4 linked regions of the Schizosaccharomyces pombe genome follow. Changing the gene in region 1 together with any one later gene gives a genetic interaction. Each region holds a gene or a part of one and is shown in the gene's direction. Other genes may lie near its edges. The genes, in order: mal2, mis19, spc7 and dis1.

Evidence for each region.
Region 2: mutations in mal2 (region 1) and mis19 impair growth when combined (synthetic growth defect), as found in Schizosaccharomyces pombe (one study listed by BioGRID).
Region 3: of mal2 (region 1) and spc7, extra expression of one rescues a mutant of the other (dosage rescue), as found in Schizosaccharomyces pombe (one study listed by BioGRID).
Region 4: of mal2 (region 1) and dis1, extra expression of one is lethal in a mutant of the other (dosage lethality), as found in Schizosaccharomyces pombe (one study listed by BioGRID).

The regions. Positions count from the first base shown.
Region 1 is NC_003424.3:4,182,136-4,189,640, forward strand, and holds mal2 (kinetochore protein mal2), read left to right. Parts: upstream 1-3,146; 5' UTR 3,147-3,387; coding exon 3,388-4,299; 3' UTR 4,300-4,376; coding exon of another isoform or gene 4,377-5,090; 3' UTR 5,091-5,281; downstream 5,282-7,505. Other genes in the region: wybutosine biosynthesis protein Tyw3, read right to left, coding at 4,377-5,090; pop100 (Rnase P/MRP subunit), read left to right, coding at 5,412-7,505. UniProt on the Schizosaccharomyces pombe protein: Component of the kinetochore, a multiprotein complex that assembles on centromeric DNA and attaches chromosomes to spindle microtubules, mediating chromosome segregation and sister chromatid segregation during meiosis and mitosis.
Region 2 is NC_003423.3:1,321,983-1,325,377, forward strand, and holds mis19 (protein Mis19), read left to right. Parts: upstream 1-1,748; coding exon 1,749-2,087; 3' UTR 2,088-2,392; downstream 2,393-3,395. Other genes in the region: ERMES complex subunit Mmm1, read right to left, coding at 1-60, 105-313, 477-1,118; C-5 sterol desaturase Erg32, read right to left, coding at 2,493-3,395. UniProt on the Schizosaccharomyces pombe protein: Component of the CENP-A recruiting complex that ensures the integrity of mitotic spindles through maintenance of kinetochore factors mis6/CENP-I and cnp1/CENP-A.
Region 3 is NC_003421.2:784,590-794,365, reverse strand, and holds spc7 (outer kinetochore KNL network protein, KNL-1 family member, blinkin, Spc7), read left to right. Parts: upstream 1-3,705; 5' UTR 3,706-3,751; coding exon 3,752-7,846; 3' UTR 7,847-8,077; downstream 8,078-9,776. Other genes in the region: P3-type proton ATPase Pma2, read right to left, coding at 1-1,187; mmt1 (mitochondrial iron ion transporter), read left to right, coding at 8,661-8,902, 9,122-9,534, 9,578-9,776. UniProt on the Schizosaccharomyces pombe protein: Acts as a component of the outer kinetochore KNL1 complex that serves as a docking point for spindle assembly checkpoint components and mediates microtubule-kinetochore interactions.
Region 4 is NC_003421.2:339,937-348,574, forward strand, and holds dis1 (TOG/XMAP215 microtubule plus end tracking polymerase Dis1), read left to right. Parts: upstream 1-2,928; 5' UTR 2,929-3,097; coding exon 3,098-3,148; exon of another isoform or gene 3,149-3,415; coding exon 3,416-6,013; 3' UTR 6,014-6,306; downstream 6,307-8,638. Other genes in the region: SPOM_SPCC736.13 (dehydrogenase), read right to left, coding at 833-1,852. UniProt on the Schizosaccharomyces pombe protein: Has a role in sister chromatid separation.

The DNA.
Region 1 (7,505 bases):
AACTTTTCGGAAACAAAATATCCACTCAAAAAAGGTGAGTTGTATGATGGATATTTAACTGACTCTGCAGTATTGACGTAGAAAAGATAACCAGTAAAAGACAAACTGACCAGCAAATTTAACAAATAGACTACGTAGTCAGATAAAATTTCGGTCTTGATTTTAGCGACGGGGTAAATATACCGTATTAGATAAACCCAGCGGATTGAAGAGATAAGAAAAAAAATTTTTTTATTTGCAAGGAAAGAACCAAACAATTCCAATCACGAGGCAATAAATTCTGAGCTTTCAATTAAGAAACCTCAACAATATAATTAAAAAGAAGAAGAAACGGAAAATATTAATAATCTGTTCCTTTAACGAAAAAAAAAAATTTCGATATAACAATGATTGTCCAATAGGGGAAAAACTTGTTCACTCACAAATTACTAAGAATGAAAAAAAATCAAATTGACCTTTTCGCAATCAGAAAAAAAAACACAAACAAATAGATGTGATAATGAATAGATAGAAATTAGGATGGAAAAAGGCACGCACTATTAAAGATGTATTAAAATCTAAAGTGCTTACAAAACCAAAGTAAAGTTTATAAAATTATTATAACAATAAATTTGACAACTTTTTTTATCCTGTTTATGTAAAACAACAAGAAAAGTAAATATGAAAAATTATAATAGCAAGTCTCAAGATTGTAAAAGACTTCAAGTGCTTTCTTTTCCTGTTTTAAATATAATTGGTATGAAAAGTCAGCAATAACTCGTCCAAAGAAATATTAATGGATCGTTATATTCAGACGATGCAGACTGCAACCAGTTTCATAAAATAAAATAAAAAATTAAAAATAATACTTTAGCAAGTTTTCAAACTGCTTAAGTGAGTTCTGTAAACAGAGGCTTGTAGGCAAAACCCTTCTTTATATAAAATCGTTATCTGGTCAACCTGTCCTTATCTCGTCTCTATATCGTTGCTTTTTCATCACCCTCGGTCCTTATCTGCATAGAGCGAATTGAAGGTGCGAGATATCCAATCATCACACGGTGGTGATGGTGCATATATGATAAGGTGCAGTAGGGGGGCCTAGTGCAGCCGAACTCGCTGTAAGGATTGGCAAGGGTAAGGAGGATACAATGAAGGAGGACTGTAAAGGGAAGAGCTTTCAGTCGTAAATTTACAGAAAAAATCTAGTTAGGAGAGAAGGAATTCGCCTTTGAATATGATACTTCGAATGGGAAAGATGAATGGCATAAATATGGCGGAATTTTCATCCTAATACAGCCTCGTTACTTCTCTTTAAACCCATTTAATGAATCGCTGAATATTGCCTAATACTAAGCTTGTGATCGGGCGGTTTCACTGTAAGGTGATTGGAACGTGGCATGGACTATGATAGTGAAACCCTGGCCTATCGTAAGTGGGGGGAGTGGGGGACTCCCCGATGCATTGATAAGTGTGACCCAAAAAAACAAGCGCTAATTCAATGCGCTAAAATACGATAAAGGTGCATAGTGACACGCGTTAGATCATGGTATATGAGTAGCAATATTGTAGCAGAGGAATAATAGGGTTGGTAGTAAACGAGTATATACAGTGTTTATAAACCGAAAGTCGAATAGTAGGAAAAATAGCAGTGATGAGAGTCGAAAGACGAACATCAATAATTTTTGTTTCTGTTTGACTTTTGATCGTTGTTTATGGACTTTTCCGTTTTTCAGTCAGCAGTGGTAATTTGTGTTTACACTCGTATGCCTTGTATGCCCAGAACTAAAGCTCATCTAAGCAATCCCTACTATAGAAGAGAAAAATAAATAAATAAAATAAATAATAATAAAAAAAAAATCTACCTTACTTCATTCAAATTTATTTCATTGGGTTTTATTTTCTTTTTAGTAATCACTTTAACTCACCGCTATTTTGGAAATTGTAGATTTTTTATTGAATATCGCCGATTTTTAGTGTTTTACAAACTGTAAGCCCAATGTCGCTTGAACCCAGTTTTACAGTCTGGATGAATTGATTTTCTTTGTATTACAAAGACTTTTCTATTAAATTTTCATTTTCTCAATTGTATCAAAGACATGACAGCAAAAATCAACTCGACACTATGAAATATACTATATAACAATTGCCTGTTTTATAGATGCCAAACTGATTTTATAAAAAAGAATGTAAAAGAAAATAAATGAACTAAAAAAAATTTAGTTTTCTACAAAAAAGCAAAAAGCCTACAGCACCCCGGATTCCCATGTTGTCTCCAACCATAGTACTAACGAGGCCCTCAGACGCTTAACTGCAGTGATCGGACGGGAACTGGTGTTTTCGCCTAGGTATGGCCGTAGACATTTGCTTCATTAATTTAAACTATATATACTGTAATTAAAGAATGTAATTTATCATGTTTGTTCTAGCTCATTGTAAACAAATACCACTTAAAAGTTCACATTATATTATTTAACATTGAATAATACATTCTCCCTTTGCATTCATTTAACACAAACTTGGCTTTTGTCAAATCAAAACCCCATGTACATTCAACGATCCTTAAAACTGCTACAATGTATAGCACTTGCGCGCTCATAATCTAATATTAAATATACAATTTTGTTGCTTTCTTAATGCAATATGAATGTTTTAAGGGATTGTACGTGAAGAGCTTTAATAAAAGAATTGTTAATAGGGATGCACTAATTGGTGAGTTATAAAATGTAATGATTTTAAAATCATTTATATAAGAAGGAAAACTACCTTCATTTTTTTTCTTTACTAATTTATTTTTCTTTTTTTTTAATGTCATTTTGTTAAATGTCATTATTTTTTCTTCAAAATAATTCTCATTTCCTGGATTATGTCAATTTAATTCTATATATTTTATAAGTTAAATTTCTTTGTTCTTGTAAATAACCATTCTGTTTTCTTTCCTAGATTTTAATTTTAATTTTTTTTTTTAAACTGGCGATTTAATTATCTTCAATTTTATATAGTTATATACAACTTGTCCGACTTTGCTTTCTATACATTTCTTTGTTATTGTAACTCATTAAGAAAATATTTAATTTACATATTATCAAACAGTTAAAAATATTGCATAATTTTTCGTTTCGTTGCAAATAGATTTGCAATCTTCATTTTTTCCTATCCATTACATCTTCAAACCTACCAATCTCTAATTTTGATCTAATTACAAATCTCGTCTAAAATACTATTCCAGTTCGAAACTCTGAAATGCTACAGTGATTAAATTATAAAAGCTGCTGTGTATTTCGACGCTTTGACATACGTGGACGAGTCTAAGCGTAACTGAATTTCTATGCTTGGTTCATGTTATCAATAAGGCCCTAAGAAACTGTTGAAACTACAGTTTTTTTAGTTCCATGAATTTTTTTTGCTGCCATGGACGATGAAGAAGGCAATGCGACACTCATCGATGAAATTTCCGTCCTTGAAGCCAGAAGGGATGTATTGCTTGATGAATTAAAGTCTTTAGATAATGCGACACTGTCCGATCTCGTTCAGAAGCCCGAGTTGTCCAAAAATTTATCTGTAAACAATGAATTTCTGAAAGAGACTCCGTTAAATCAACCTGCACTGCATTATGATCGACTTTCTGGTATTTCCTTTTTCCAACCCAATGATCCTGAGGAGTTATCTAGAAAGACCCTTCTCGTAAAAAATAAAAAGACAGGAGCCATTGAGACTGCTCCTTCTATACCGCTTCTTGGTGTCCGGTTCGATATCATGTTGAATCCAGTAAATATAGGCTTTACGAATCTCTCAGAGAATCCAATATCTTCCGCCTCTGGCATGGACGAAGAACTAGAAGGTGGAAATAGATTTGATGTTCCCTATTATATAATTTTTCGAGTATTTCACGACTCGTTTGCTTTATATAAATATACGATTCCAAGCTTTCTGAACATACAAGAATGGGCTGACGAGTATTTGACTGGAAAGAACCCTGAAAGGTTTAGAATATTTTTGTGGAAAGTAGATAAATTATTGACCGCATATATCTGTCGTAAAAACGCACTTTTACAAATCAATAAGTCTTTGACAATTGATGGGACAAACATATCTGCCAATCTTTCTTGTACACATCTTGTCATTCAAATTCCGAAAGTCATTCAAGCTACCCTTGTTTGCTCTTCAGAATCCACTAGAGTGGTCAAATCAAGGATATATCAGTATTCTGATGAAAACTGGAAAAGAGATCACAGACTTGAACTATCTTTATTAGACAACAAACGTTGGGTTAATATACTTGTATCACACCTAACTGCTCCAGAAAGTCATGCTTCGTTATGATTGTTTATTACCATACTCTTATTATTATTAGACAGGGACTATCTTTTTATACAAAAAACTTTATACTTGTTAGTTATTTACGATTGCACCAAATAATCGTCCATATTCCTTAATTTCCGCCTTGGTTTCATCCTTTTCTCTACCTGTCTCTCCAGTTGCTCTTTCAGTCTAGCCATTCGATTTCCATTTTCAGTAAAATACTCAACGCTTCTCTTGAAAAGGAAGCACATGTATTCACGAGTAATGTAAAACTGAAGCTTTTCGGATGCTGTAAGACATCCTATAGGAATATCCATTCGTAAACTTGTTCTAATAGCCACAATAAACTTCTGCTCACTACCTTGAATTCCTGTTTCCCGAAAACCGCAGCTTGCTGCTACTCTTTGCAAATGCTGAGCATTCGCTAAACTTCTCGTTTGAACATGCAGAATCATGGGTTCAAAAGCGTATTGTATTTCCCGATTTCCTTCTACCGGAGAACTGGGAACCTTTCCGTATTCCACTTTTTCATCTTCTAAAACCGGTGGTAGTTCTTCATGTGCCTGATGACTAACGAAAAGCCAGTATCCACCTCCTTTTCTGGAATTTGCTCCTTGTACATAGACTGAAATTCTTCCTGAACATGAACTAGTTGTTACCCAATCCGGGTGGGAGTTTATAACATCTAGCAATGGAAATATTGGGCTATCTGGGTGTCCTTTGGGTGATGCATCAGGTACGGAGGATTTCAAGCCTTCTAAGATTTCTTTTTTTTGAGCATCAAATGATACATCTATTCCTTTTATATTCATTCAAATTGTTCTTCAAGGAACTCCTTGCAACGACTTAATTCAACTCGTTGGTGGATTCTTACAACTTTTCAACTTGCGTTGTCAACTTGCCAAATCAAGCACCTACATTTTTTTTTCTAAATTCAAAACAATATTTGCAGATTCGTTTGCTCAAACCTAATAAATAAAAGAAATCAAATAGAAAAAATCATTTTTATGGTATTTTCGTACGCGCTTGAGTAATTTATCAATCCATGCAACAAACAAGTTCCACTGTATAATATTAACTTCCTAATTAAGGCTGCTACAAAAACCGTCCCCCACTTTATCTAATTTTATGAAATGAAGCGTTCAACTGGAGGAACGCAACCAAAGGGACTAAACGTCAAAAGGTCAAAGCTCGCTGATGCTAGATTCATAGAGGTTGAATCACCTGCCCTTTCAAATGGTGCTGTAGACTTAAAAAAATTCATTGAATCAAGGAGTTTTGAAATAACGGCTTTACAAGATGCTATGAAAAGATCAAAAGAATCCAGCGCTCAGCGTGCTTTCCAAGCTCTTCCTCGATGTTTACGAAGAAGAGCAGCTTCTCATAATATAAAAAGGATACCTAAAGGTTTAAGGGATAGAGCTTTATATGAAATGCAACTCAGTTCCTCATCTACTTTGCCCATTGCACCTTCCAGACAACGGTTAAAGAGATTCATCAAACGCTTGCGAAGAAAGTTAGCTAAATCAGGTGAAACCAAAGCAATTGACAGTACGGGAAGCTTGGTTACAGACAATTCTACAGATGATTCGCGAATTCCGTCCTTGGCTGCCGTCAAGTTAATACGTGGAAAATTTGCTGGTCGTCAACTTCGGAAGGTATGGCTTCCCACTCATTTATGGGTATGCAAACGCGCACACATGATAAATGCTTGGGGATATGCCATTCCCGAAAAACCGACTGAGAAATCCTATCGTCCTACCCATCGAGCAGCTTTTCGGAAAGATGCAATTGCATTCGACATGTCTTATGAACCATTGTTTTGCATTAGCGGGCCATACGAAGCTCTCAAAGAAAAGTTTGGAAATTCTTTTGCAAACGGACTGCCTCCTGTATTTCTGAATTCTTCTAGATCATTTACATCTTACCTCGTGAAGTCTGACATACACGAGCTCATATGCCCTTGTTTTCTACAATGGAATAACCCTACAGAAGATGACAAAAAACAGATCCCTGTAAAAAATCCTACCGAATGTGTGCAGTTAGTTATACGTTTACATCCATCTGCATTTCTACAAGCATGGAATTACTTATCTGGTATAGCTGTTTTGGATGATCGCATTGCTATGCACGATTGGCGACTAGATCTAGCATCTTTTGATATTCACGGACCCGATAGCAACATTATGCTCCACAAAGTATTTGACGACGTTGAATTAGATGAAGCAGGAAAAGTTTGGCAGTCGATTTCCAATTATTCAAGCGCATGCTTACCCATGGGCGCCTCGATATCTGTGAAAGCATTAGTTAATACTCGTTGCGATAAAAATTTATCCGAAAAGGGAGAAAAAAGCTTATTAGATTCTGCTGAAAACAGTTTACCAGCATCTGCAAACCAATATAGCACTCATTTTAGGTATTGGGAGAGACAGGAAATACCCTCTTTTGCAGTTTTTGAGAATAAAAATAGACATACTCATGAGAAAAAATCTTCTGAAAAAGAAGTTATACCCGTGTATATTACGTATAGAAAAGAATGGAACGGACTCACTGTTATTTTGCCTTGGGATTATGCCAAGTTTGTATGGAGGAAGATGATGTATCAAAAAGGAATACGTTTTGGCGGATTAGAAAATTTGCACCAAATTGCGTTTGAAAAAAGAATGCCTTTCTTTCCGATTGATTATCCAGATACGATTAGTGGGCAACTTTGCGAAGAGGAAAGAAAAAAACGAAATGAAGATAGCTGGAAAAGACGTCCACCTGCCAAACGCGTAAATTATCAAAAATTCGGAGATAATTTTTCAGAAATAGGTAACCCGTTTTGTTGTGATTGGGTTTATCTAAACGAGATGGTTAAGGCTTCACGAGATGAAGATAAAACTCTGCAGCTAGTACGTGTTCAAGTACAGTTGGTGCAAAGAGGTAGCCTGCAAGATCGGGCTCGAATTTATTGTCTTAGTGACGATGAACTTAGTAAATGGAAGACCATCATTTATAAAGAAAATCTCACTGCTGAAAATTTGCTTTACCCAAAGTGTCCAAACGAGACGGCTATTATAGGATTCGTCACGACCGGAAATTTCAATTTGAATGCAGGCAAACCTTCTGGTATAGCCAATGTTCTAGCCAAAACGATTAAAAATGAGAAATCCGGATACTGTATTATTCGCAACGTAGGTTGTAGCGTCCCACGATTAGCACAATGGAAGTTTAATCAGTCTCAT
Region 2 (3,395 bases), on another chromosome or scaffold:
GCATGGGACCTCGCATGTCCTTCTTTTGCAGAGGTTGGCCATAGGTTGGGAATTGCGATCCTGTGGGAATTAGTTAGTATGAATCAATTCATACTCTCACTTACTGTTGAAACTGAGGAGAAACACAACGATTAGTAAACCATTGTCGAATCCTTGATTCGATCAATTGTGTAATTTTAGGAATGTCTTGAAGCTTTGACCTAGCTCCCACAAGAGAACTTACTTGTAGCGAGATCACGAAATTGGGGTCAAATGACAAGTTCATATATGCAGGCTGGCCTGCACCATTGCTTGGGGAAAAATAAATCATAATCTAGGACAAATGTTAGAAAAGACCGTTATTAAAAGACGAAAAAAAATAGTCTATCGTAGAATACCACTGTGATACGATTTAACACTTGATGTTTCAAACCCCCGGGGGAGGGGTGTAAAGAATCGTAGAGACTATATACTATTAAGGTTGTAAATAGACTTACCTTTCCGACAAATTTACAAATCCTAACTGTAATGGACAATGGTAAGGTTGCAAACGCAGGCTTTGGAAAATTAAGTAAAAGCTTTGTGTCAACGGTGCAATTAATATTGTCAGTCAGAGAAACAAGCATCTCCGCTCGAAGCTGTGAGGAATTATGCTGATGAGGTAGAACCCGACAATGACTGAAAACCGGAAATCCGTCTCCAAGCGATAAATCTCGCACGTAAATATGATCAACCATAGACTTGTCTTGAGCACCTTTGTTGAGAACAGTTTCAAGTTTTCTCAGGGCAACATCGTTGGAACATGCATCATAGCGAAACTGTATGAGAGCTTGTGCTATTAGTACATTAAACCAATCCAATGATTCCGGCTCATGTTCATTAACATCGTAAAGCAGATTGAGTATATGAGGTTCAAGGATAGTAAGAGGCTTTTTGTACCTTTTTTTGTTATTACTTAAAGGAGTTGAAGGAGTCTCGTCAGGTGTTTCATTCCCCGTTTGTTTTGGAGAGTTTGCTACAGACTTTGGAATTGGACTACAAAATAAAAAGAACCGCAAAAACACATAAATAATGGCCAGTGTCAACAATTGTCCAACTATTAGTCCTTGTGTAAAACTCCCCTGCGGCAGGTGTATCATTTTTGTTCATAAATATACTAAAATACCTCGAATTCGCTAATCCCGAGAATCAAAACCGTAAACGGAAAAATTAGTCTTCGCTCTACAAGAAGAGTATAAATTAAACGTCTCAAATACAAGAGTTAACTGCTTAGTAAGTTGAGGCTTTCTGTAATATATATATATATTTTTTTTTTTTCTTTCTTGTAGGTGGTCTACGTAGCATTTGCAATTACAGAGTTCATTGAGCCTATTTGTTTGAGTCCAAAACCGAAATCAACTAATTAAACTAATGGACTTCAATTAAAAAAGATTATTAGTAAATTCATTAAATAACATGATTTGTTTGAGAAAAGCAACTAATTATATCAAATTATTGACTTTAGATATATAAATCCTTTATGATAATATATATTACATTATGAAATTATAAGAGAATATTACTTTCTTGTACTCTTCACATGTGTATGGCATGCTCATACTCAAGGGTAGGAAATACACTAGTACGCGTTTTACTCTTCCAAAAGGAGTATTAGTTAAAGTATCTTTAATAAACGACAATAATTAGTTATTCTTTCTTTCGTATATTAACGGACTACCTAATTTTCGAAAGTTTCTCCGTCTGTGATATTTTATTAAAATGTTAAGCAAATGGATTTAATGCCGTTAGAAAAAGCAAGAGCAATTGAGATTGCATTTGATAATGTGTTTCATAATACAAAAATTCCGGACAATTTGCAGCAATTTGACGCCATATTGAAACGACTGGAAAGACGGAGATTTATACCAACGGAAAATCAGAAACCAAGAGTGTACGAAACAGAGCTACTTGTACTGCGATTTCGCGAATTTGGGGTGAAAGACAACCATAATCATCCAATAAATCTTCATTCTCTTCGGTCAAAAAGCTTAATCAGGGCACAAGGTAAAAAACTTGATTTACATAATCGAGTATTTCTAAGAAGAAATGTTAGAGCAGTAAAAATGTGATTAGTACCTTTTATACGATAATTTTGATGCATTAGTAACTTACCCAATGTGAACTTTACTGAACTTTATACACAACTTACTACAGAAAAGACTCAATCACTACATGTTACGCATATTTTTAAAGCGTTAATTTTCTATCAAAAACAAAACTGTAAGCGTTCATAACTTCTTTTCAACCCAAATTCACGTTTACATGAATTAAAGTCATAATTCAGCAATATTTTCCATTTTAGCAAAAAAAATCGATATGAGTAGCTTTAACAACACGGTGAAAAAATACCAAAAATAATAATTCTATATAAATCAAATCAAAAGCGGTTTTATTTCAGCTTCTCTCTCAAAAGACAAGCTAGAACATAAAACAAAAGAGAGGGGAGTGTATCAAATAATAAATCTTAAAGTGAATTAGTTATCCTTCTTGCTGGCATAAGTGCGATCATCTTTACCCTCAACGGTGTATTGAACTGTCTCCATAAAGCGAATGCGCTGCTCTTGCAATTTCTCATTGCGAAGTTCGGCGTCAAATAATTCTTGGTCTGGTTGACGATATGAACTGCAAAGACGATCAAACAAGGTGAAAAACTGACCATAATTGTAATTAAAGTACATATGGTGAGCAGCGTGATGAGCAGCACCATTTACGACAGCGTTGTTAGAAAAGTATTTGCCGTCGTGGATGAGTACGGTCCAATAATTTACTGATCCAAAAAGCAATAAGTAAACATACTTATTTAAGGGAAAGAAAAAGGGAAACATATGATATGGAAGGGATTGACTGTATCCATCAAGATAATGAAAAGCGTGAGAAGAGTAAGGAGTTGGAACAATCCATTTGTGATGAAGCTTATGCAAAGGAGCGTAAAGCCAACGATGATGCAAAGCGCGGTGAATCCAGTAAATCAAAAAATCAGAAAATAGAAGGAAAAGCGCGATGGAAAAGAAAAGATAAAAGTAACCATATTCATCAAGCTTATCATAAACATAACCATATCCACGAATTTCAGCAAGAAACCAAGGAGCTGTCAGAATAGCCATACCGGGTAGATTTTTTAAAGCAACCATCAATTCCAGATGCTCCTGATTTTTTAAAAATTTAGGGTGCCTTCTGGCCTCCTCTCGATCAAAGTACACATAATATGCAAAACTGGCAGACAAAAAGTAAGACAATGTGCCCATAATCCAGGTAATGAGGAACAGGCTGGTGAATTGACGCCACACATTGTTACGATCAAGTAATCCCGACGTGATAGCAAAGTTTACTTTCTCAGCAAGACCCAAGGTGGTAGAATTTACAGCAGTATTAGCAAA
Region 3 (9,776 bases), on another chromosome or scaffold:
GTATAAATGCATAAAAGGGTGAGGATAACCAAAACCAAAAGAATTGTACCTATGCCATTCAAAACTTCGGTAAAGTGGCCCTGGCTTTGACCAGCTGCCCCGACTAAAGAAGCTGCTCGTCCTACGAAAGTTGAATCGGCTGTTGCTGTTACTACCATAAAAGCTTCTCCACGTTTCACCGTTGAAGATGAGTACATGGTATCATTTTGGTGTTTATCCACTGCCAAAGATTCACCGGTGATTGCGGATTGATCCACTTGGAGAAAACAATCCTTTGTAATAAGGCGACCATCAGCTGGGCATATAGTTCCTTCATCAAGATGCAAAATATCACCTGGAACAATTTCGCTGGCCTCAATTTCTTTCACTCTACCGTCGCGAAGAACGCTTGCCTTTAACGCCATTGTTTTCTTTAGTTCATCAACAATGGATCCTGCTTGATATTCTTGAACAAAGCCGACCGTTGCATTCAACAACAGAAGAGCGCAGATCACACCGAAATCAACCCAATCACGGAGACCTGCTGCTAATGCAGCAGCTAGCTCCATTACAAATTGAATTGGACCCACAAAAAATGAAAGGAATTTTTTAATATTATTTGTCTTTTCTTCTTTCATTTGATTAAGACCGTATTTCTTTTTCCTCTCTTCGACTTCAGATTCTGTGAGACCGTATTTGGGATCTGTCTCAAGGAGCTCTTCGGGGACTACTTTAGCAGCTCCAGCAGGTCCAGGAGATTCCTCCTCTTCTACTTGTTCTTCTTCTTGATCTTGAGAATACAAGTCTTCAATTAGGGCATCAATATCTTCGTCTTCATCTTCATTATCACTGCCTTCGCCGGTTTGAGGACGGGCAGGCTTTTCATGGGAAGCAGATAGCGATGGAGATGTAGTAGCCTCCTGTCCTCGGGAGGTACTTTGAGTTTCATGGGTAATTGATGTGTTACCACTTTGCAAATTCGCTTGCTGAGCATGAGTGTTAGGTGCGGCAGTTAAACGTGGAGCTGCGTTTCCTGAAGCGTTATCATAATCGACGGCGGAGTCTTCCACTCCCCCTTCCTCATAAACTTCTGTCCTTGTGGTTGAATCATCTTGAGGAGAAGCATTATTCTTGAAAGGATTGCCGTGTAAAAAGCGGCTAATTCTATGCATACCCTCAGGTCGCCCTTCGCCGTTATTTCGTTGCATATTAGTCAAAGGTTATTAAAACGACTATGCGCAAAAGATTGGTGAGGATGAAAAGGTAAAAGAACTGGAATTGGCTCTATTGTTGTGTATAAAAGACTGACAAAATTTGTTTGAATTGGATGACAATTAGTAAGTCGCCAGCCGTTACGAAGGACTCCTTTTTATAGTAAAAGCTTCAAAAAATCATGCGGGGAACAATTGTAAGCCTCTTATTGCGGTTTGGTTAGCTCACAGCTTATATTCGTCTCCTATGCGTATTATTGACTTCATTTCTCCCTTGGTTTGCTTTTTGACCTAATATAGGCGTGGTTGCAGACTCATTTAGTAATAATACCATCTTATAGGTCAGTCTCGTAACAATGCTTTCATTATTGTGTAAAAATTACCGGTCGATTACCTGAATTTGCAATTGTCTTTTATATTTACTAGGAGCTTCATTGTACCCGGAGATAAATATTATTGAATACTGCGTGGTTTTATTTTTTTATTTTTATAAATTTACAATTTTATTATTAAGCGGATCGTTACATAAAATATTTAATGGGTGTGATTTCTGTATTTGTTTATGTTTGGATACATTAAGTCCACTTGTTTAGAGAATATTTATGATGGAGCACTCATAGAAAACTTCGTGATTCTTGGGATTTCATTATTTAGTGTTGTAACGAAGAAATACTTGTCTTATTGTGTGTTTTTTTCTTTTTTTTTTGGCACAATTTTGGCTAATCCTTGCAATTTGAAGCATTAGTTTGGCCCCTTTTAAGTAAAGTTAGTATGCTAAATGAATTGTGGAATAATCTATATTTTTGCAATTGTTAAAGGACAAGCCTGGACTGCTGTATAGACAATACTTTTTCTATTTTTATCAAATCTTCCTCAGAGAAGATGTCTGACGCCCTTTTTATCATGTCACACACATTATGCTAAGTAAAGGATTCTAGTGAAATACAGTAGTTATGCAACTATTAATAAGTCATTATTAAATTGAAACATGTTATGTCGTTTGAAACTGGATAACATTACGATACCGGAGATTTGTGACCATTTATATCGTAACATTGACTAAATCCAAATGGGAGAATGATATTGGGCTAACCAAGTCTGCTCGTATTTGAAGGCTTATACCAAATGCAACGAATAGAATATCATACCATACTACGGGATACACGGGATTTACAAATATCCAATTGTAAGAATTGTCAATTTCCCGGATTTAAAAAAAAAAAAAGAATGTTAGTATTGATGACAAAAGCCTTACTTGTTTGAAATACTGAACAATTATCATTCGTTTATACAACGCTATCCTTCCTGTGCCGAATATAAACATTTTACGTCCTTTTGTATTTCCATTCTTCAAAGAAATCCTAATCGTGGTATATGATTTATCATTCTAATAAAAAATATTAAGACAAGCGAGCTCAGCCATACTTGTTTTTTTTTTACTCATTTAAATGTTGTACAAATGCTAGTTATGTTACTAAGCTTTACTGTGATTTGAAAGCATTAGTGTTGTTAATAACACATATGGATTATAGTACATAATATATCAATTTCAGGTCTTAGCAACGCAATCGTAATCTGACTTAAAAGGATTTATAATTTCTATTTGTGATCAATATATCATCGTAAAAGGAAAAGTACACGAATTAATGTCTGGTCAATTTCACTATGGCTAAGTATAACCATGGAAATGAACAGGAAATAGTTCAGAATGAGCTAGCTTATATTTGCTTAGCCGGTAACCTTTTATAACCACTTTTGAATAGTAAACAATGATGGAACAGGTTACGAGAACCTCAATGGAAAGTAGAACATAGAATTACATGTGGTTGTAAGTTCATGGCAATATCCATCAAATTATAGAAATACTAACAATAAACAGTTTTTTTCTCGATTATTGATTATAAGCCGCTGGAATGATATTAAATAAACACACTCCTTTAAAGGAATATTCACGAGTATTATTATAATATACAATTTGCGAAATAATAATTTATAACAACCTCGCTACAATTTACTTATACTTCTTACAACCGCACATTGCTTTCAAGTTAATCCATTAAATTATGCCAAAAGAACAGTGCGGCTCATTTGACAAAACATTCAAGTGAATCTTAGATATCTATACCTTTTTGAAGTTTGTATTCCTCCATCACAGTGCGCATATGCTTGTGATGCTCATTACCTTATTGTTTACAGAAAACCCAATATTACAAATAGACCCAGTTGAACAAAAGTACCCCCAATTTACCTTTACTTTATACAATTTGTTAATGATAAGAATGAACAACAGTCATATTGTTCATTGGAACTTTTACAAATAGGATCTTTATTCATTATTTATTCAGATTAGCTAACAGGAATGATTACAGAAAGCATCATCGTAGTCTACCGTATCCTAAAAAGGCTTACAGACTCCTTAAATAATACAACGAAAGGCGTTCTAGGCCGCAAAAAGAAACTCACCGCCATAAATTTAACGAACTATCATTACAATTTCTTATGTTCGTCTTAATCTAAAAACAACAAAGTTCGTGTGTCGACGTGCTTTGTTTAACTTGACGATGCCAACATCGCCTCGTCGCAATAGTATAGCGACGACCGATAATGTTATAGGAAGAAACAAAAGTAGGAAGCGTCCACACTCGCTTGGAGGACCTGGTGCGCTTCAAGAACTTAAAGAACACACAAATCCAGCAAAAGGCATTCTAAAGAGTTATTCATCCTTTTCCGTAGATCCCGCTTTCACAGGAGATGAAGACTTTAATGATATACACACACAAATAAATAACACGGTCATTGGAATCTCTAGTAATGTTATGGCTGCGTCAAAGAGACTTCAAATGGAAGACCTACAGCAATTGTCGCGTGAGACGTCTAGAAAAAGTTTGAACAGAAGAGTTTCCTTTGCTAGTCATGCACGTGTACGTTGGTATCCTAAAGATCACCAGAGTGACTCGGAAAAGTCGACATCTAATCACAGCACACCTGAGCGAACTTTTGCATCTGATGCTAAAAACCATTCCCCTAAAGGTCCAACAACGACAAGTTTTTCGAGAAACGAAACACAATCATCTCCCCATAGTCATAGTGCCTCGATTATTTCAGACGGTAGTGATATGGACATTGCGTCCCCTATTCGGTCAACCGAATCAGATATGGTCTCTGAGGCATTGAATGCTGGCCATCCGCCTCCTTCTCTGTATCCGGAGAATGATGATTTAAGTATCCAGAATCCAACAAAAGCCTTACCTGAAGCAGAAAAGGCACTTGATGTTCACGATGCCACGAGAGAGCAGGTTAATGATAGAGAGGAAACTAACATGGATTTGACTATCCAATTCCAAGAAGCAGATTCGTTTTTATCACATTCCGAATCAATTAAAGGTCTTAGCTCTAGCGAGCAAGGTACTGTTTATAGTTTAAAAGCTTCTCATGACCCTTCAAACCAAACTCAACTTTCATCCCCTAACAAATCATCTAGTCCAACTAGTATTGAAATTTCGGATTTCTCCAAAAATAACGAAAATCACGATCAGTCGGAAAATAAAGAAGAAGAAGAAGATATGATGCTAACTCGACCTATTGAAATTCCGCAACACTTTTCCCCCATCGCTCGCCCTTTAACTTCCCAAGAAGCTATTGTTGACATGGATATTACCTCTAATAACATTAATTTATCTCCAGTGTCTCATTTTTCCAATGGCTTAGATTTACAAAACTTAGAAGAAGCGCCTATGAACCTTACCCGACCAATTAATGCTAATCCTCACTTAACTAATCATTCTCCGAACGATTTAACTAATGGAGAAGAAGAAATGGATACCACCTCCGCCTTTAATATCGAAAACTCACATTTAACTCTCCTTTCCCCCATTCGTCCATCGTCACGATCCATGGAAGAGCAAATAATGGACTTGACACAACCCATTAGCTCTACAAATGCACCCACCCATTTGAATGAAGATGATTTAAATCAATTTACCTCAAATATATCCTCTTCTTCAAAACCGAGAAAGGATAATAACAAGACTGCCAATTCTTCAAAGCCCATTCCCGACAGTGAGGACTTTATGGACATTACTAGACCTTTCAATATATTATCCCCTTCTAAAGAAGCACTTTCCGAAGAGCAACCAATGGAATTAACCTCAACAGTTTTTCCTTGTGAGAATTCTACATCTCATCTTGAGGTGGAAGAAGCTGCTATGGACGAAACAGTGGCTTTTCAAATCCGTGGAAACAATGTTGAGTTACCTTCAGCAGACAAGGAAAATGCCGAGAGAGAAGAAATACCCTCATATAGTGATAAGTCAGAAAATTTCAATACTACCTCCTTTACCAACCATGAACGGTCACCAAATGGGAACAATAATCTAAAATTTTCGAAAGATCCTAACTCTTCTTCTCCAAGTAGACATGTGGTAGCGACTCCTACTGATAAGCTTGGTACTCGGAAAAGACGCTTAAGATATAGCACTTCAAGTTTTGATCAAAGTACCTTGCGTCGCAATCGTCTTGCAACAATCCGTAATGCTCGAAAATCAATTTCAACTTTGAATGACAGAGAACTTCTACCGGTTAACTTTTTCGAAAAAAAAGTAAATTCTGGTCTCTATAAATCGGTTGAGCGATCCGAAAATTATCGTCTAGGAGCTACTCCACTTACCGCAGAGAAGCCATTCACCACAGAAAAGCCGCTTTCAAGTCTTCCTGAAGAAGTTTCAAGGCAACCCACTGATGACAAAGGCGAACAAGTGTCTAATGCAGATGTTGATTCTGGATTGAGTAAAACAGAGCGACTAACAATTCAACAGACTAACGAAATTAAGCACGTTCCAACTAATACGACTTCTTCTGTTAAGCTTCCTCAACAACCTTCGAATGAGGATGAAAAAGAGCGTATAACAACTGCAGATTACGCCGATTCAACTAGTTTGGAGCGATTGGAATCTCAGGAACCCAACCGGAATGAACTTGTTCAAGTTGGTTCGTCAAATGCAGGTAATACAACTTCCGTGGGCATGAATGAACATGAGAAGTCACCCGTCAAATTATCAAAAGGTGTGAGCAATGTTGATACATCGTTGGGCGCTTCGACTATTAACACGAACATTTTGAATCAAGACTCTGGTCCAAATGAAGAAATACCTGTTGGTAATGAGCCAGAATTTGATACGATGCCAACTCTACCAAACGTCGAGCCGATAAGCCTATCAGATTTTCTTAAAATGACCGGAATTGAATTTTTGGATAATCTTACTATTGCTAAAAGACGAGAAACCCTATTGCCAAATGCTGAAGAAAATAAGAAATGCAGTATCCAAGAACTTTTGGAATCTTTTTACATACAATTCCCTTTGTTAGAGTTATACAAATTTAGTTGTCAGCAATTACAGGATTATATTGCCGAAGGGAAGGATTTTGTTACTAAAATTGAAGAGGAAACTTTGAAAGAGAACCCGTTACTATTCTATGAGTATAGGAAAGCATCCAGTGATATGAGGGTTTTAATGGATTCACAATTTTTAATGATGAAAACTTTTGCTAGACTTCAAGCAAAAGGTGATTGGTACGAATGGCGTGAGGGTTTGATGCAAGGAATCAAACATGAATTAAATTTAAATTTAACTGGGATGCAAAGAAGCTTGACCCATTTAATGGATGTCGCGAATGTTATTCATCCGTATGCGCAGGAAATTCAAGAGAGATACAATGGTAGTATTACTACAGTACAGACATTAAAGAAGCAGAAGGAATTTGCAAATCAGTATGACTCAACTCTTCTAGCGCAGGCGCAAGAAAAGTTAGAGAAACTCAAGGTTGAGGTTGAGAGGAGACGTCGGCTTCTGAGTGAAAAAGAAGAAAGAAGAAAGGAGTTGGCAATAAAGATAGAACAAGTGACAAACTCTTGCTCTGATTTGGAATTACGTACCAACGCTGAACAAGATTTTTATGCGAAAAACCAAGATTTTGAATTTGACGAAATTAAGCGATACGAGGAGCAGTTGTTAAATCTTAAAAATGAACTTGGCTGGACCATAGTTTCTTTGACCGCGGGCGGAATTAAATTAGCTACAAATAACACTGCTCTTTCTCCTTATTCAGCCGAGGTTACGGTTGAGATTTTGAGGCAAAATTTCCAAGTTAACGTTGATATTGCCTGTAAGTTCCCTAACGAAAGTAATGCTTGCAGCTCAAATGTGCTCGAGCATGTTGCATCGTCGTTTTCTAAATGGCATTCCAAGGTATTTTCTAGGAACTTACGTCTTCTGAAGAAGTATCTTAACGATGTTTCAATTTGTTGGGAACAAATTGTTTATCTTGTCCAAGATTTCCAGCGATTATGGTACCATTGGCCCTTTTTGTCAGTTGAAAATGATGATAAGTCTATTATCATAAATGTTGAGCTATACCTGCGTTCGGTATCATCTAAGGTAAAGGTTGTTTTCGGTCTCCCAATTGATACTATCTACCAAACTACTGAAGTAGGAAAGTTTTATGCTTCTACATCAGTCGCTGTGAAACAGATGTATGCGGAAAGTGAAGGAGACTCTTATGTTAGTGAGGTTTTGAATACTCTTTCGGAAGTGGTGCATTGTACATCAACTTATGCCCTTTCGTCTGCTTGTCTTACTGTTTGGAACAAATACAGCTAGATATTAATGGGAATGATTAGCTATGCTGCGCCGAAGCGACTTCCTTTCCCAATATTCATTTTGTGCTTAACGCTTGGAAATATCATTTATCCTTGTTGTATACTAGTTCATTCGTTTTCGTTAATTCACATGTTACTAAAGAAAATGTATATATTTTATGCTATTTAATATTGGTGAAATAATAATGGTAGATCTTGACTGATAATGAAATTATAAATCTTTTTGTTAAACCCGTAATGCGCTACAAAATAAAGTGTTTAGTTAATATATAAATAAACTATCCATAATTAAAAGATTCTCGGATGTGCAAATCTGGTGTAGTAAAGTTTCACATTGATCTGATAAGTACGGGATCGACATCTTACGTTCTCCTAGATACATATATACACAATCGATAGAAGAGACCGATCCTAAACAAAACAAAGATCTTAACTAATTTAAGAGAATTGGACGGATATTTAGATTTTTATAATTGAAAGTCAGACGCTGCTTACAAAATTATGAGTTTGCAAGCTCAAATTTTGCAGAATTGAAATAGGAGGTTTTTTAGATTTTTAGGCTTCGCTCGGATTATTAAGTTATCCATTTTTTATTTTTGAACACAGTTTAATTAAGTAAGTCAAAGTTCCTGAACCTCGTCTGCAATTTCTGATAAAAATATTAATACACTTAAAAATAGATTGCATCCGCAATCGAAAGTTCACAGACAGCCGGTTGAGCCCTAATTTCCAGGTTTTCTACATATTTACTTCTTTAGAAGTTTTGTTTTATATATAGATATCCCTTTTCTTGAATTAACAGTACAAAACTCACTATGCTGAAAACGTTCAATTCGTCAGCGCGCTCATGTCGAGCGATGCCGCGTTTTCTACCGACATTGTGCAGCAGATTGCACGAGAAATCTGGCTTTGAAATTCGGAATGCTGTAAGAATGCATAGTGTTGGCTCTCACACTCATACCCATGACCATGGATCGGACAAAGAAATGTTAGAGCTTGTTAAAGCTTTGAAAAAAGAAGGGAAATCTCCAGAGCTGAAACTTGCGTGGTTAGGATTGTAAGTATGGAAAAGAAAAAAAGAAAGTCATCTTTTCTTATCAATTCGGAGCATAGCGGCAACAAAGGAACTGTAGCCCTAAAGTTAGCTAAATAACTCATGATATTTAATGAGACCATTTTTAAACTGGTACTCTCTTATGCTTTCGTTCTACGACAGATCTTTTGACAATTTCTTCCCTTTATTATAGATATTCTTGACTATTAACACTTTTTATAGATACAGCAATATAGGCTTAGCAGCCGCCAAAGGTATCGGCGGAGTTGCTCTACAATCTAGCATTCTTGTCGCCGATGCTGCTCATCAATTAGGAGATACACTTTCGGACTTGGTAACATTGGCTACCTTGAAAATATGTAGCAAGAAGCCCACACAAAAGTACCCTGCCGGTTTTGGCAAATGGGAAACCATAGGTACATTCACCGTATCTGGTTTATTGGTGGCTGTATCTGTAGGCATTGCTCATTCATCGTTATCGAGATTGTATACTATACTATTCCCATACGCTGGTTCAGAACACACGCACATTGGTCATTCTCATAATCCTTCTCAACTATTGTTTGAACACCCCTTTATGGCACTTGGCCTTATATTTGGTAGTGTTGTTCTTAAAGAATGGCTCTTCCGAAAAAGTAAGTAATTTCACCTATTATTGGATTCTAATAGTATATTTAGCGAGAACGGTGGCTCAAAAAACAGATTCAAATATCTTACTAGCCAATGCCTGGCATCATAGAGCAGATGCATTGACGGGAATGGTTTCACTGCTTGCTTTATCCGGCACTTACTTTCTTAATGCTCCATGGCTAGATCCGTTTTTTGGTTGTTTAGTAAGTATTGTCGTTTTTAGTGCCGGCTTCAACTCTTCTAAAAA
Region 4 (8,638 bases), on another chromosome or scaffold:
CAAAAAAAAGAAAAAAAAATATGTTTAGCCCAAAAATCACCAATTATAGCTTTTCACTTTCTTCAAAAGTTAGCTATTTCCCGTCAACTTTCAAAATAATGTTTGAATGTTTAATAAAACACTTTATTATAGGGTTTACTAGTAGCCTCCTTAGTGTTGGATTTCTGGAAGAAGGCAAGGTGCAGATAATCGTGAGAGAGTAATTTGATTACGGGTAATAACGAATACGAAGTACTTTGATAAAACAAATGAATATGAAAACCATCAATTACTGAGTAAATAAAAAAATTTCTATTTTAAAAGAGTTTTACTTTTTAATAAGTATTCCTTGTAAATTCACATTTCTTACAAATTTGTTCGGCAGATTCAAAAAATGCCCCGTGGCACAGAGAGATACTCAAAAGAAAGATTCTTTTTTAAGATTAAAAAAACAAAAAATTGCTCTGAGTGTAAATAGTGAATGGTCAAATGTCGACTAGTCGTTTCCATATTTACCATCAACATTATAAAGTAAATATTTGATTTGTAAATTAAAATACAGTCGACTAAAGTGTGGATAAAATGGCTAATACACAATACCAATGCTTTGACAGACAGAAAAGTAAGAGATCAAACCTACTGTTACCAGGGAAGAAGCGATGTAGCGACAAAGTCGAAATGCTGTTTGTGGTTCTTAAGCAATACGAAATTGTATAATATTATTACTAATATAAAGTAATCATAAAGGGATTCCAACATAAGACAACTAAAAATATATGAGGAGGTAGAAACACTTTACTAGTTTAAGTGGTTCAAGAAGCGTTCATCATTGTTCAGATTACGAGCAAAAGAATTATGGAGAAGGAGCTAAATACTTGAGATCTTCAAATATCTTATGAGTATAGCGATAAAGCTCCTCAACAAAGGCATCATCATGAGCGCGATGAAGAATACCACGCTGAGCAATTGCAGTGAAGTAAGCGCCGTTCAAGTGCTCTTTGGAAATCTCGGGACTGGTTGCAGCATATAAGGAAGTCATGGCGCCTCTGATTGGATCCAAAAGTAAATACTGGAAGACTGATTTCTCTAACAATTTGAGAGCAAAGGTAGGTGAGTAACGAGTCAGCTCGGTACGGATAACACCTGGGTGTAGACTAACGGAATATATTCCATATTTTTCTAAACGTTTGGCTAAAGCAATGGAATAAAGGATCTGGGCATACTTAGATTGTCCATAACGAGCAAAAGTACCCAAAAGTACATGCGGGAGATTTAGGTCAGGGAAGTAGATACCAGAATAAGGGGCCTGCAAATATGCAATGCTTGCGACGTGAACTATTCTAACATCGCCAGGTCGACATTCTTCTGCAGTACGACGGAGTGTGGGGAGCAAGAGCTCAGTGAACAAGTAATGTGAAAGGTAGTTGGTTTGAATCTGAAGTTCATAACCATCTTTAGTCAATTCAAAGGGAGGGTTCATGATACCAGCATTATTGACCAATATGTGTAATTTCTCTTCTTTGGCAATGAAAGACTCAGCTGCTTGGTACACGCTTTCGAAGTCTAACAAATCCAAACGAAGAAAACGGATCTTGGAATGTCTAACTTCATCGTGGATCTGTTTCATAACTTTTTGATACTTTTCCTCGTTCCTACCAGCCAGATAGACCTTTGCGCCTTTTCTAGCCAACTCGAGGGCAGTTACATAACCAATGCCACCTGAAGATCCTGTGACAAGAGCGACTTTACCCGTAAGATCGGGAATATCGTTAAAGGTCCATTTGGGTGTATTGAGACCGGTGTACTCTTTGAGAGTATTTACAATTGCGCTCTCATTCACGCGGTTGAGCAATCCCTGAAAACTGTAGGACATCGTAAAGAAATTTTTGAAGCTAATATCAATTAAAAAAAAAGAACTTTATAAACAATGAGCGGGGAGGATTTTATTGCAAAGAAGTGGCCAGAGAACAAACTTATTACCAATGTCTTTAACTCGAAACTGTAGCGATTATGAAATCAATCGATCAAGTTTGGAACAGATTCAAGAATAAATCAACAATTTTCTTTTAATAAGCGTTCTTAAGTTCTAGAAAACACTTAAATATCGTTCTCGTCGAATATGTTGAATATGGGTAAGGGTGGCTGCAGATGATAAGTTGCAAAGAGTGACGATAGCGGAAGAGGAAGCAATTCGTAATTTATACAATGACCGCTGACAAATTTCTTCAAAATCCAAGAAACTCAAGGCGTAACACGGCTTCTTTGCGGACCGAAAATTTGATCAAGCATGGTATTACATCGACTAGCTACTTTTGACTACTTGGCTTACAAAACGAAATATGGATTGTTTAGAATTGAATGTATGAATTGGGTGCTCGACAGAATATTGGAATCCTTTTAAAAATGTATAACTTGAACTTATTGTAATTGAAGAACTCGAATTCAGATTGGGCAAATGAAAGATAAAATTAGACTTAGGTATGAATAGAAACGAAAACTTAAAAATCTGCAATCTATAGGATTCCCTTCTTTAAACGAGTTAAACGTCATGTTTTATTCAGTAAGAGTCTTAGAAATTCATTTTTTCACTTATACTAGATCACAAGCATCTTACAGAGCCACCCAATAGCACATTAATCGGTTTCAAAAAGCAACTTGCATAAGGCTTAATATATCGGTGAACATTCCATTTGGGTGCTCATCTTCTGTTAGCATCATTTTGGTACGGTTTAAGATAAAGTTATTTATTTAAAGAATTAAATTACTCTAAAAACTTAAAATTATTGATGGTTTCCTCTTTTTCTCTGCTTTATTTACATTTTGCTCTAATAGTGTAATCTTGCGCTCGTTCATATTCAACAATACGATGGTCTAACGAATTGTGCTAACTCTACGGTGCTGGCTGTGTGAGTGAAACATTGTCGTCCGTAAAGTTAGTCGTCTCTATTTACACATGTACAACTCCAATTTCAGAGCCATACTCATTACTGTTTAGAATCCCGTCCGTTTCATTCGTTTTCATTTTTCTATTTGTCTATAAAATTCATTCTTTTACATAACTATTCATGCTCTGCTGGTTGTAAACATACGAGTCGTTAATTTATATTTGTTTATGTAAATGGAGTTGGACGATTTTAATAGCCGCATTCTCAGTCAAATTTTTGATAAGGTAAGCTTTTTACAAATTAATGGAGATAGAAGCTTGCTGTCCAGAAAAATGTAACTGGAATGAAAAGCAAACAAATGGAAATATCGTTGCAACGGCATTAAGGGCACTGTTGATCAATTCCATTGTATTTTACGATTTCAATTAGTTTTACTCATTGCTTTGTGTTTCCGTCACTACTCTTTTCATACCTGTTCTCCCTAGTATTGATGGATCTCACTTCTGTAGTGGGTTATTTTAAGTTTTTAGGTTTCTAACTGATTTATTTAGTCTTGGAAAGTTCGATTTGAAGCATATGAGTCTTTGTTGCATGCATTGAACCGAGCATTGGATGATTCAGACGTTTGTTTCCAGCCTTGGATTCATGACCCAGCATTATGGAAACAAGGGCTGTGTGATAGTAACGTACCAACACAAGAGCATGCCGTAAAATCTCTGCGATGCTTTTTAGACAAGTCTAGGCAAAAAGGAGTTAATTCTGCCAAATCGTTCGTTGTTGCTCCTCTACTCGAAAAATGTTTACCATCTCCTAGACAATCTATCCGTGATGCTTCTCACCAGGCTTTACTCATTTTAGCTAAATCCGATGCGCTGGACTATGTATTAGAAGGGTTATTTTCGGCGGCTCGCGTTAAGCATCCCAAGCAGGCAGTTGCTTCTATAAAAGAATTAAATAGTTTATTGGAGAATTTTGGAATCCCTGCACTTTCTCCTATTCCATTCTATAAACTGATTCCTACTTTGTTCGCCCAATCAGATAAGAATATCAGGCAAGAAGCTTCGAATCTATCCATAACCTTGTACGCTTGGGTTGGTAATGCATTCAAGACTCATGTGTTTCCTCAACTAAAGCAAATACAGGTCTCCGATCTTGAGGCCTCTTTTCAAAATGTTACATCTCGCACGACCACGGGAGGACATATTTCAAATTCCCTCAACACCCAAGAGGTGGTTCTTCCTTCTTTTTCATCGAATGCCAAACCCAAACCACATTTGTCCTCAAAGTCATCTTCGCAGGGAAACACTCTGCAACGCTCTACTTCTAGTTTCAGTACTCCTAACCGAAAGGTCTCACAACCTTCTGATTTTTCAGCATCTCCTTCCCGTTCCATTGTATCTCCTGCCAAAAACATTGTCGGAAGTACGCCCGTTGATGTTCTTTCCAAACTAACCCCAGAATTCCATACCGCATTATCTTCTCCCAAGTGGAAAGATCGAAAGGAAGCGTTGGAAAGCATGGTACCGGTGTGTTCCAATCCTGTTTATCAAGAGGGTGACTATAGTGAGTTACTTCGAGTGATTGCAAAGTCTCTAAAAGATGCAAACGTGGTGGTAGTGGGTGTAGCGGCTTTATTATTGACGCATATTGCCAAGGCGCTAAGGAAGGGCTTTCTTCCGTATACTGGTATTGTATTGCCTTCTTTATTTGATAGGTTTAAAGAGAGAAAATCGAGTTTGGTGCACTCTTTGCTGGATGCGGCCAATGCTATTTTTGAGAGCTGTGGGTTGAATGATATAATGGATGAGACGTTAGAATTTTTGAAGCATAAAAATCCACAAGTAAAAACTGAGACACTTCGATGGCTGAATCGTTGCCTACAATTGACGGATGTTTGTCCGCCTCGAGCATCGCTTGAAACGCTATGTAGCCTATGTGTGACATTGATCAACGATACGTTTGAGCCAGTCCGAATGGCTACCACAAATGTATTGGCAACACTTGTGCAAATTTTTAGTCAGCCAGTGTTGTCCAAGTATATTGTGGGATTGGATCCTAAAAAGTTACCAAAAATATTAGAACTTTCCAAGGACATTACGGTGAATGCGCATCCGAATCAACCCTCACGTCCCAGGCTGCCACGAGTGGCCTCTCCTTTAAAGACATCACCGGTTAAACTGGCTGTTACACCACAAGCACCTTCACCATTACCATCCTCGAATCCATCACAGGCGAGTTTGACAGAAGAATCTCTATCTACACGATCTTCGCCTACGAAACCATCGACGACGTCTTTGCGTAGTCAATCGTTGGTGAATAGATTTGCAAGTTCTACATTGAAAGCGCCATCATCCTCTTCAAAGGGAGTTTCGAATGCGGCGTCGTCAAAACAATCGTTTCCGTCATCCCCTTCGATTTCGAAAAAGTTAGAGACTAGTCGACTTTCCACGAAGAAGTTACCGGGATCAACGATGAAAGCAGCGTCGGCGCTCAAAGAATACCCACAGCAACAGTCTATGAAAAGTGGAGGAGAAAAGCAGGACAATTTGGTTACGATTACAATGTCGGAAAAAGTGGAGCTGGATTTGTTGAGAGAAGAAAAAGCCATTCGACAAGTTCAGGAAGCGGAAGATGCATTGGAGCGAGAACGGTTGTTTCGAGAGATCAATGATTTGCAAATTCAGAATGCAGAAATGAAAGAACAGGTGTATGAGAAAGAGTCTACGATATCGCAAAAGGAGGTGGAGATTACGAGTTTAAGGAATGAGAAGGATCGATTGAGTACACGATTGCAGCAAGTATTGTTAGAGTTGGAGAAGCAGCATGAGACGAATGAAGAAGCGATGGATATTGATTTAAAAGTTCCCGAGAGTGGAGCGATAGGGAGGGTGACGACAAGGGCGACAGCAACGACAGCAATGGACGAAAGTGGTAACGCTGGGATGGTATCGAGTGGTATTCATTCTGTGTCGACAAAGCCAAGTTCGTATGGGACACGGCGTTCGCTGGCAGGATCAATGTTACAAAAGCCGACGCAATTTTCGAGGCCGTCGTTTATGTTTTCACCAGAGGCACGAGACAACTGGAGGGAGAGTCATGATTTGTCAAGTCATTTGTGGGAGCAAATCCAAAGGATGAAGAAGGCGTAGTGCCCGGCGATGCATCCGAAAGTATGACTGATTAGGGCATGCTGGATTTAGCAAAGACGAAGAAAGGCAAATCGAGCGTCGTTTTTACGTGTTGTAAGAGAGGTCGTCAGTTTGGTGAATGCACAAGCGTGGAAATGCTGGTAGAGTTTTTTGTTGGAGTGTTTGTTAAAGTCGATTAGGTAGAGTTGAAATCACTCAATTTGTATTTCTAATTAAAGTCGATCATTTTGTAATGCTAATTGAAACGGTCAAGAAAGAAATCAGAGTTTTGGATAGATGAATAGGAAAATGTAGAAAAAGAAGAAAAGAAAAGAAAAAGAAGAATTCACGAGAAGAGAAGAAAAGAAAAAAGACAAATCACAAGAAGAAAAAGAATTCACGGGAAAAAGACAACTGCAACTTTTTTTCTGCGCTCCATTTGCCAATTCAACAAAGCGCGTCCCCTGTGCGCATTGCCAAACAAATACCACTAGCTTTAGGCTTGATCCTAGGATTAGCGAACAACGGGGGTACAGTGTAGTTTGGCGTAGTATGGAATAAGTAGGAACGAGTTTGTAGGTTTCCACGTTAAATGCAAAGTACGAAAGAGCTTTTCCACTGATAGATAAACGATGCATAAGGTTATACAGCACGTTATAAGGTATTGCACTATGCATTTTAAAGCAGCGCAGCAATTCGTTCCTTGCAAGATGGGCAAATAAAAACTACGAGGTGATAACAAAACGGTGTATTACTTTGCGAAAGCGAACGTACTGTATTACATTGTTAGTTAGTGTATTACGTTGTAAAATAATGCATTACATTGTAAAATAGTGCATTACATTGCACCTACTGAAATGCCTTGCATTCTGCTACATTTACGTGGTAGCTTACTGTACTACATTGCACTCTACTGCACTGCTTGGCACCCTCTTAACTGTCTGTCCTGCTGCGCACTGCCTTTGCGCACCTTTCCCATACCTCGGCTATATGAGACACTAACTTTATCCAATAGACGATCGCTTCTTGCGGCGTTTGGTTATCGTGCGCGCGCACCGTAGGGAAAGGAGGGAAGCAAGGCAGCGGCGGCAGAGCAGGAGTCTAGTACAGTAAGGCAGCGAGGAGGGAAAAGAAGATTTCCCATATGTCGGGAAGAGAGATTTGAGAGAGGGAGAGAAGTACGGACGGTCGGAGGAGCAGGAGAGAGAAGAAGAGCCATGAAAAAGGAAGTGAAAGTAGAAGGGAACTAGTAGGAAAATAGTAGGGAAATAATAGAGGTATTCTTTTGTTTATTTCGTTTAATTTTATTTTATTTCGTTTTATTTTATTTCGAGTATTCTTTTGTTTATTTATTTTCTTTCGTTTTATTTTATTTCCTTTTGTCGCTCTTTTTTCTCTCTTCTCGTCGCTACTCTAGCATTTCTAGCTATTATCAGTACATCGCCATGCCATGTGCCATGCAATGTTATGCTATGCTATGCCATGCCATGCCCGTTACACTCCCGTGTTCCATTTGGTGCTCCATTCCCGTATTGCCAAAGATAGATATTTCCGTATTCACTCGATCCTCTTCATCTTCCGAATAAACTGATAAAATTGTTGCAAGTATCTAATACTCATTCATAGTCAGCGTCGGCATTTTCTTAAACTCGTTTACAATCATTTCTTCTGAATTCATCTAATTTCTTCTGAACTCATTTCATCTTTCTTTTCTTCATTCTTACTACACTCATATCCCGTTTCACTCACAACTCACTTCTTCACAATATCACTCACTCTCTTTCGCTACTTCTTTTCTCTCTCTCACTTTTCCATTTCTTGTCACCTCGTTCCTTGTTACCTACCCTTGTTGCCTCTAACTTTTACCTTTTCTCTATTCTATTCTCTTTTGTTTTAACCTTTTTTTTTATTTTTGTTTCATCCATATTTATCCATTTATATTATCTTTCTTTCTATATTTATCTTTATCGGTCCATTTATCTTTTGTTTTTTCTCTTGTCTCTCTCTCTCTCTCTCTTACCTTTCTTTCTCTTCTCTACTCTACTCTACTCTACTTTACACTACACTATTCTATCCTAAGCTACTCCATCCTCCTCTACACTATCCTATCCTATCCCATTCTCCTCTGTCCTATCCTCCTCCGTTTTATCCCCTCTATCTCTATTCATTTCTCTACTCTATTTCCTTTTTACCCACTTTGCCTTCCTCTGCTCTATCCTTCTTCAACACACCCATCGTCACTTCTCCCTCTTCTCTCTTTACCACATCCTACCACTCCCCGGCCTATTCATTCTTTTCACTCTCTTTCTTTCTTTCACAACGACGACGCGTTTGTTTACCCCATCGGCCCTTCAACACTCGCTGCCCCCCTCCCCTCCCCCTTCAGCTCCAGTTAACGCGGTGCGCCAAACGCATTGGTCAACATCGCTATCCAGAAAGAAATTCGGTTTTATATTATCGCGAATGGGAACGTCATGTTTACGTGATAGAAGGAATGGACATATCTATGGCAACTGTGGCCAGCAAGCTGACCAAATGATGTTTACCTACTCTTGTTCACTACGGCAAGTGATGATATCATTTTCCCACCTTAGCTTTGTATATATAGACTGGCTCGCTCATTTACCGATACACCTTTATCCATAC